Linked DNA regions of Drosophila melanogaster. Each later gene encodes a partner of the first gene's protein in a complex. Each region holds a gene or a part of one and is shown on either strand. Other genes may lie near its edges.

What was found.
Region 2: CG9662 (region 1) and CG31460 share a complex: the UniProt entries of both Drosophila melanogaster proteins name them as parts of the oligosaccharyltransferase (OST) complex.

Annotation. Positions count from the first base shown.
Region 1 is NT_033779.5:3,375,210-3,378,637, forward strand, and holds CG9662 (uncharacterized protein), read right to left. Parts: upstream 1,529-3,428; 5' UTR 1,411-1,528; coding exon 1,272-1,410; intron 1,212-1,271; coding exon 901-1,211; 3' UTR 623-900; downstream 1-622. Other genes in the region: CG15412 (uncharacterized protein), read right to left, coding at 1-199; Ptpa (phosphotyrosyl phosphatase activator), read left to right, coding at 1,890-1,917, 1,973-2,596, 2,653-2,861, 2,947-3,282. UniProt on the Drosophila melanogaster protein: Subunit of the oligosaccharyl transferase (OST) complex that catalyzes the initial transfer of a defined glycan (Glc(3)Man(9)GlcNAc(2) in eukaryotes) from the lipid carrier dolichol-pyrophosphate to an asparagine residue within an Asn-X-Ser/Thr consensus motif in nascent polypeptide chains, the first step in protein N-glycosylation.
Region 2 is NT_033777.3:8,560,899-8,564,270, forward strand, and holds CG31460 (uncharacterized protein), read left to right. Parts: upstream 1-1,774; 5' UTR 1,775-1,984; coding exon 1,985-1,988; intron 1,989-2,036; exon of another isoform or gene 2,037-2,044; coding exon 2,045-2,466; 3' UTR 2,467-2,547; downstream 2,548-3,372. Other genes in the region: pch2 (pachytene checkpoint 2), read right to left, coding at 1-231, 295-658, 713-774; mRpS18A (mitochondrial ribosomal protein S18A), read right to left, coding at 1,047-1,417, 1,514-1,610; Cenp-C (centromeric protein-C), read left to right, coding at 3,357-3,358. UniProt on the Drosophila melanogaster protein: Subunit of the oligosaccharyl transferase (OST) complex that catalyzes the initial transfer of a defined glycan (Glc(3)Man(9)GlcNAc(2) in eukaryotes) from the lipid carrier dolichol-pyrophosphate to an asparagine residue within an Asn-X-Ser/Thr consensus motif in nascent polypeptide chains, the first step in protein N-glycosylation.

The DNA.
Region 1 (3,428 bases):
TCACCCTGAGCAGATCCTGGTATATATTGGGGGTTGCTCCCAGCTGGGCCAGATACTCGTTCAGTTCCACCATGACGATGTTAATGTCCAGCTGCACGTCCGGGGCATACTGCGCGTAGCTGATGGTGGACACCAAGAGATTGGCCAGCTCCGCCAAGGCGCTGTCGCTCAGCGATCGCACGGAGCACTTTTTCGACATGTCTCTGTTATGGTTTCGGCCCAGAGGTAAACAAAATACGACGCAGAAGCCGCTGGGAGATGAGCGCACTAGAGGAATTGTTTTGCTCGTGGTTACATCACTTGGTAGCAGGCGCAATGCTGGTTGTTTTCCTGCTCCCTTAGAGTATTTCTAACGTTCCTCGGTAACTATTTGCCCAATATCAGCTAATGGCGCACTTCTACACATGCGTGTACCTTATATTTAGGGGTAAAAATAGATTCTAAAATTATATAGGCGAAGGAATCGGTTTCTGCCGACGAACTAGTGAACTGCTCGATCCAACAGCACGATGCAAACTGAGAGCCATGGGACGCCAAAATGTTTGGTTTCCTCGGTTCCACATTCTCAATTCGGCGAGCCACTTGAGCGACCAAAAAAAAACAATGCTTAACTCGTTTCATTGTTATTTTGAGTCGCTTTACAATTGCATTATTTATTCGACAGCATCGGAATAGAGACATTCTATAGTTTACTTAACTGATTCGGATGAAAGCCAGCCAGTTATTCTGCTGTTTAAACAATATTACAACTATTACACAAAATTTTAAAACGAAATCAAAGTTTTTGTTTGGTATTCCGCAGCTTTAAGCCTTTTAAACTAGAATTTCTGGCGAATGCAGTTCGGTTTACAGATATTCGAATGTGGGAGAGTACTAAGAGAGCGTTTTTCAGTAGAGATTCTAGGGCTGCAGGTAGCTGGGCAGCTTCATGCGCATGAACAGCCAGGTGGTGAAGAAGGAGACCAGGATGAAAATGAATCCCATGGCGGTCAGCAGCAGGCGGTTGAGGTTCGTCTTGCCCGGCGTGTGCGTTTGGTCCATGATAATGAATCCCAGTCCGCCGACGGTGAACAGGAAGCTGCTGGCCAGGCCCTCCATGATGTACTGCCCATTCACACGGTAGGGCATAAAGGCCACTGGACGCGAGTGTCCGTGCTCATCCACCGTGGCTCCCAGACTGGGCGGCTCCACAATCACGTCATATATGATACCTGCGGGCCAATTTGCATCTCTGTTTAACCAATCTCAATTATAGAAAGCTTAGGACTCACCGCCTGTCACCAGAAAATAGGAAAACAAAATCACACTGAAAACGGCCATCGGTGACGGCATTGGAATGCTGAATCTGCGCACCTTGATGTTCGGCGGCACCAGGATGTGGAAGGGCAGGTTATACAGTGTCTCGATCATGATGAACTAATAATTTAATAACTATAAATTTAAATATATCACGGATTTTTCAATTTTCGTGGCGGTGTCGCTGAATTTTGCCGGCGTAGGCGGAGTTTGTTGTTATCTATCGAATAGGGATGGACACTTGTACGATACTCCCCCTGCATTGGTGTATTTCCACTAGACAGCATCTATGCTTGCAGCTGCATCGTAAGCCATGTCATTGTACTGTTAATGTCTTAAGTTTTAAACTGCCTAATCGATTTGAATTTTTTTATAAGACTCAAAATATATTATATGTAACATCAAACGATTGGCTTATTGATACTAATGTGCTTCAGCTGCGCAGCGTGAACAGCCTTTATATTTGGTCATACTTAGTGATGTCACTATTGCGCTCGCGTAGAAAAAGAGGAAGATGCCCCCAAAATAACAAACAAAACGTAACTCCCGATCAAAATAGCTTTAAATTGAAGTTAAATAACGAAACAACTATAATGGCGAGTGGCATTAACCAAGCAGCAGGTGGGCTGAGTGAATTTCTGAAGATTCGTAGCTTAGTTAACCACTCCATTTGCAGGTAAACTGCCGGCAATTGCGAAGAAGGTGCAAAATCTCGGCGATATGGGCGTTTGGCAAAAATCCCGCGCCTTCCACGATTTAATTGGATATATAAATGGCACCAGTTCGGCCATTCAGGGCATTAAAACCACAGACGAGATTTTCGAGTCGGAAATGCTCAAGAAGCTGCTGCGGCTATTCGATGCACTGGAGAAATTGGTAGAGCAAAATCCTCCATTGGAGCAGCCGCAGCGGTTCGGAAACAAAGCCTACAGGGATTGGGCGCAGGCAATGCGGGAATTGTTGCCCGAACTCCTAGAACAGCTGTTGCCAGACGACAAGAAGCGATACCAGGTGGAGCTGGGGCAGTATCTCACTGAATCTTTCGGCAATGCCACCAGGATCGACTACGGCACCGGCCACGAGCTGTCCTTCCTCTTCTTCCTGTGCTCCCTGTTCAAGGCGGAGATCCTGCAGGAAAGGGACATCGTGAGTGCTGCGCTGAGACTCTTCAATCGGTACCTTGAGCTCGCCAGGCAGCTGCAGCGAACATACAACATGGAACCCGCTGGGAGCCAAGGAGTCTGGTCGCTGGACGATTTCCAGTTCGTGCCCTTCATCTGGGGCAGTGCACAGCTGGCGGGTAAACAATTAAGAAGGATTCCTCCAAGATTTCCTTTCTGAAACGATTCCTTTCAGTTAAGAGTCCCTTTGATCCCTCGAAGTTCGTGGACGAGGCGATAATCACCGAGTACAAGGATCACTTCATGTTCATCAGTTGCATCGACTACATCTGCAAGGTCAAGACTGGACACTTTGGCGAGCACTCTAACCAGCTGTGGAGCATCACGGATGTGCCAACATGGGCCAAGATCAACGCGGGACTAGTTAAGATGTACCAAAAGGAGGTAATCTTTAGTCAGTAATATGACTAATATAAAGTAGCTTTAATTGAATACCTAGTACTCAGAAACTACTATAAACTATCCACAGATTCTCTCCAAGTTTCCCGTGATCCAGCACGTCTACTTCGGAGAACTGATGACATTCGAGCCCGTCTCCTCTGGCACAACTCTGTCCAACGCACGACTGGGTCATGTGGCTCCGCCGCCATCCAAACGCATCTGCATCGGGACTCCAAACTTGGTGCCACCAGTTCCTGTTGCCACTGCTCCTCCTCCGCCCGCCGAATCTCTTAGCATCGAACAGAATGTGGGCGACTCGAGCAGTGAGAGCAGCGACAACAGCGTGGTACTACGTCCATCCACATCGTCGTCTTCTCTGGTGGCGGCCGCCGAGGGATCTGGGGATAAGCCCAGCAAGGAATAGACTACAGAATGGAGGAAAATGGCGATGGTGTAACCTGTGTTAAAAATTCTTATTAATAGCGTTGGCCAATGGTCCAGTAAAAACTGTTTACACAAGTACAATCGCAATTTGTGTTCCTGGGTCTTAAAGTTTCCGCTTTCAAATGG
Region 2 (3,372 bases), on another chromosome or scaffold:
GCTCTCAGAGAACCACTTCGAGAACAGGCTGTGGCTGTTTATCTCCACCAGGTGCGTGTAAGCATAGCTGCCTTGGGTACGGATAGACAACTTCTGGGCCAGGGCCTTGCAAAGGCTCGTCTTTCCTGTTCCAGGTGGTCCGTGGAGCAGTATCAGTCGGTTACAGGCAATCACATTCGTGTCCACACGGTGTTCAGAGAACATCAGTGCCGAAAGAGCAAACTTTAGAAGCTGGAAAAAAATGATTTCCTTTATAAAACCATAAATAAAAACTATGCATACTCCCCGTCTCACCTTTTCCTTGAGTCCTGTCTCGTAGATGAGGTTCTCCCACAGACCCACAAACTGAGCGGCTGGCAGGAGCGCATGACTGGCCGCCACGATGCTATCGATGCCATCCGAGCCTTCTTCGCCCGAAAACAGACCAAGTTGCCCTTCCTCTGGCCTAGTGGCATAGAAATGGAAGCGAAATTTGGTCTCGGCGACCTTTAGAGGCTGCACACCGCCATTGTCGCGCTCCAGGAGAACAGAGTGCACATGTTCAGTTTGCTCAGCTGTGAGATCCGGCAGGAATGACACATTTCTGGGCAATTTTCTAGCCGTCTGAAAATAGGCCTTTAGGGCTGTCTCCACATTGTTGCGAATTGCATTAGAGCGACTGAAAAAATGGATAATTAACTGAAAATCCCAACTGAGGACGGATGCTACTCACAGATCGTTACCTCGCAGGCAAACTTCCACATGAACTGTGTCGCTGTTGCTTAAAAAACTCATTTTAATGCAGGAGAAGCTTTGAAAAGCCGCGGGAACAAAGAAATTATAAAAAGCGACGCCGGCGTAGAGTGACCAAACTTCTCAAGGAAAAAATACGGCGCAAAAAAATAATTGCAAGTAGTAATATTAAAATTAAGAGTATTTTTTATATATCTAAAAAGGCGGTAGTTCAATAGGAAAATAAAATAAATATGCATTTCGTTCCAAGATAATTTAAAAGCAAACATAACCACAATCATATTTTCTATTAACAACATTTATTGTATTTAACACTAGTATTTAATTGTGGACTCCAGGAAGTACTTGTTGAACTTGCGCCAGCCGAAGCGCTTCTTGGGATCTCTTTTACTCCACTCGGGCGCCAGATTTGGCATCAGTCCCGCCTTCTGAGCCATGGTTACCAGAGTGCCCATCTTCTTTTGTTGCCGGTGGCAAAGTCCGGTGATCCTTCTGGGCAGCATACAGCCGTCGGAACGGACATACTGCGACAGGATTAGCACATCCGTGTGCTTGATGTCCAGGCCCAAGGTGCATTCCGGGCAAAACTTGGTCTGGCAGGCGGATTTAAGCATCAGGTGAGCACGCGGCGATTCCACATTAACGCCCTCGAAGATCTTTACACTGTTCTCCTGCTTCTCATGAACTGGAACAGGCATTGAACAGAAATTCGAATTAATTTTAAAGATGTGCATTTATTTGAGGGGTTATGAAACACTTCACAGAGGTCTCTGTAACTCACTCTCTTTTATTTGCCTTGGCATTGTGGTGGCTACGCCACGCACCTGAGCAATGGTACTTCGTACTGTCCTGGTGGCCAATTGCAACACAAAGGACATGTTGAAGGCGTTTTTTATTTACAATTTATTAAAATTGTGCTCAAGTGTAATGTTGTTACTACAAATGTCATTCACCACGAAAGCCGCAGCGTTGCCACATCAATTGATTTAAATATTACTTCTCAAAAAAAATTATCGATGTCAGTATTTAAATAACGATATCTGTTTTTATTTTTATTGCAAGCACAAATTTGTCATTCGAGAATTTTTCATGTAAATACGTAAAAAAAATAGAGAAAAATGCCTGCCTAACGAATAAAACTTTGTTTAGTCGTTACATACTGGAATATCCCTTGTATTATCAAATATCAGTTTCGATAGTTCGATAATTCACTACACGTATAAGAAAGACGCCGGCTGGAAGAAAAAGTAATATGTGTAAGCAAATGCAAGGAAATTACGGCCAACAAAAACTAAACTCTGAACCTTTGCAGCCGCTTCAGTGAGCAGTAAGAGCACCGTGGTATCCTCCATCATCTCGGGCCTCCTGAGCATTGTTTTGTTCGGCACACTGCGTTTCTGCTCAGAATGGTTTAACGACTCGCAGCTGAGGGTCCTTTTGGGCGGATACCTCTTCTCCTGGGTGTTCATCCTGAGCCTCACGTGCGTCTCCAACGCGGAGATGGTTGTTTTCGGCCAGGACTTCCAGGCCAAGCTGCTACCAGAGATTATTTTCTGTCTCTCACTCACGGTGGCCGCCGCGGGACTCGTGCATCGTGTCTGCGCCACCACCAGTGTTCTCTTTTCCCTGGTGGGGCTCTACTTCCTTAACAGGATCTCCACGAAGTATTACTCCGTTCAGGTGCCCAGCGTGGATGCTCCTACGACGAGAAAGGGCGGAAAGAAGTTCAAATGAACCATTCGTCTGCTTCTTATTTCATTACTAACACATTCGAATACCTAATCTTTAATAACCTTTAATAAATAACTAACTTATAAAGTCATGTCAATCGGTCACTTTGAAGCTATCCAAGCTCCATTATTACAGTTGGCCAGCCTTATACTACTGAGTATTGGTGCTGTGGAATAGGGGATCTTATTGGGAATTCATGAATTCAGTTAAAAAACTCCAATCTCTGGTTATATGGATATCGTAATCCTTTTCCAACAGAATCAAAACCTCGAACGCAAAGTCGTTTTCACAGCGTCTCTATTGCATGCCTTCTCGCAGAAAATGTATAGCTCCACTTTTTGGTTGCTTTTCAAAGCTGCTTCCAGTTGTTATAAAGTGAATTCGAACAAATAGATCAATCTGAAAAGTCGGTTTAGTTTGCTTTAAACATTTTGGATTTGTTTTGTCAACAAAAATTGCCGGCAAAGTGTGACCAGCTTGCGTTTTACGCGTTTAGTATATTTTAGTAATGAAATACTGCATATAATGGTTGCCTGCTGGTCAACGCTTTCGAGTATATTTTCAATAAAAACTTTTGAAATAAACTCAGCTGTATTTAACAATAACTGTTTAAAAACGATTGCATCATGCATTTGTAATTATACAGGGTGATGTCTTATTATTATCAAAGAAACTTTTAGATATTTATAGCTCTTTTCTGATAGTCTATTCGAGCGCTCTGGCAACACCCCACCTAGGCGCGCCTACAGACGTTACTGGCAACGCCAAATGAATAGCGTCGCGTCTTTTTTGTAGTTTAAAATTTTGTGGAGTTTTAGCGAAATAAGTTAAGTTTATTGTTGTCGTGTATGTAACTTCGTGAAGAATCCTTTTTTCAAGTTTCAATTGCAAATATGTAAGTTGCCACCG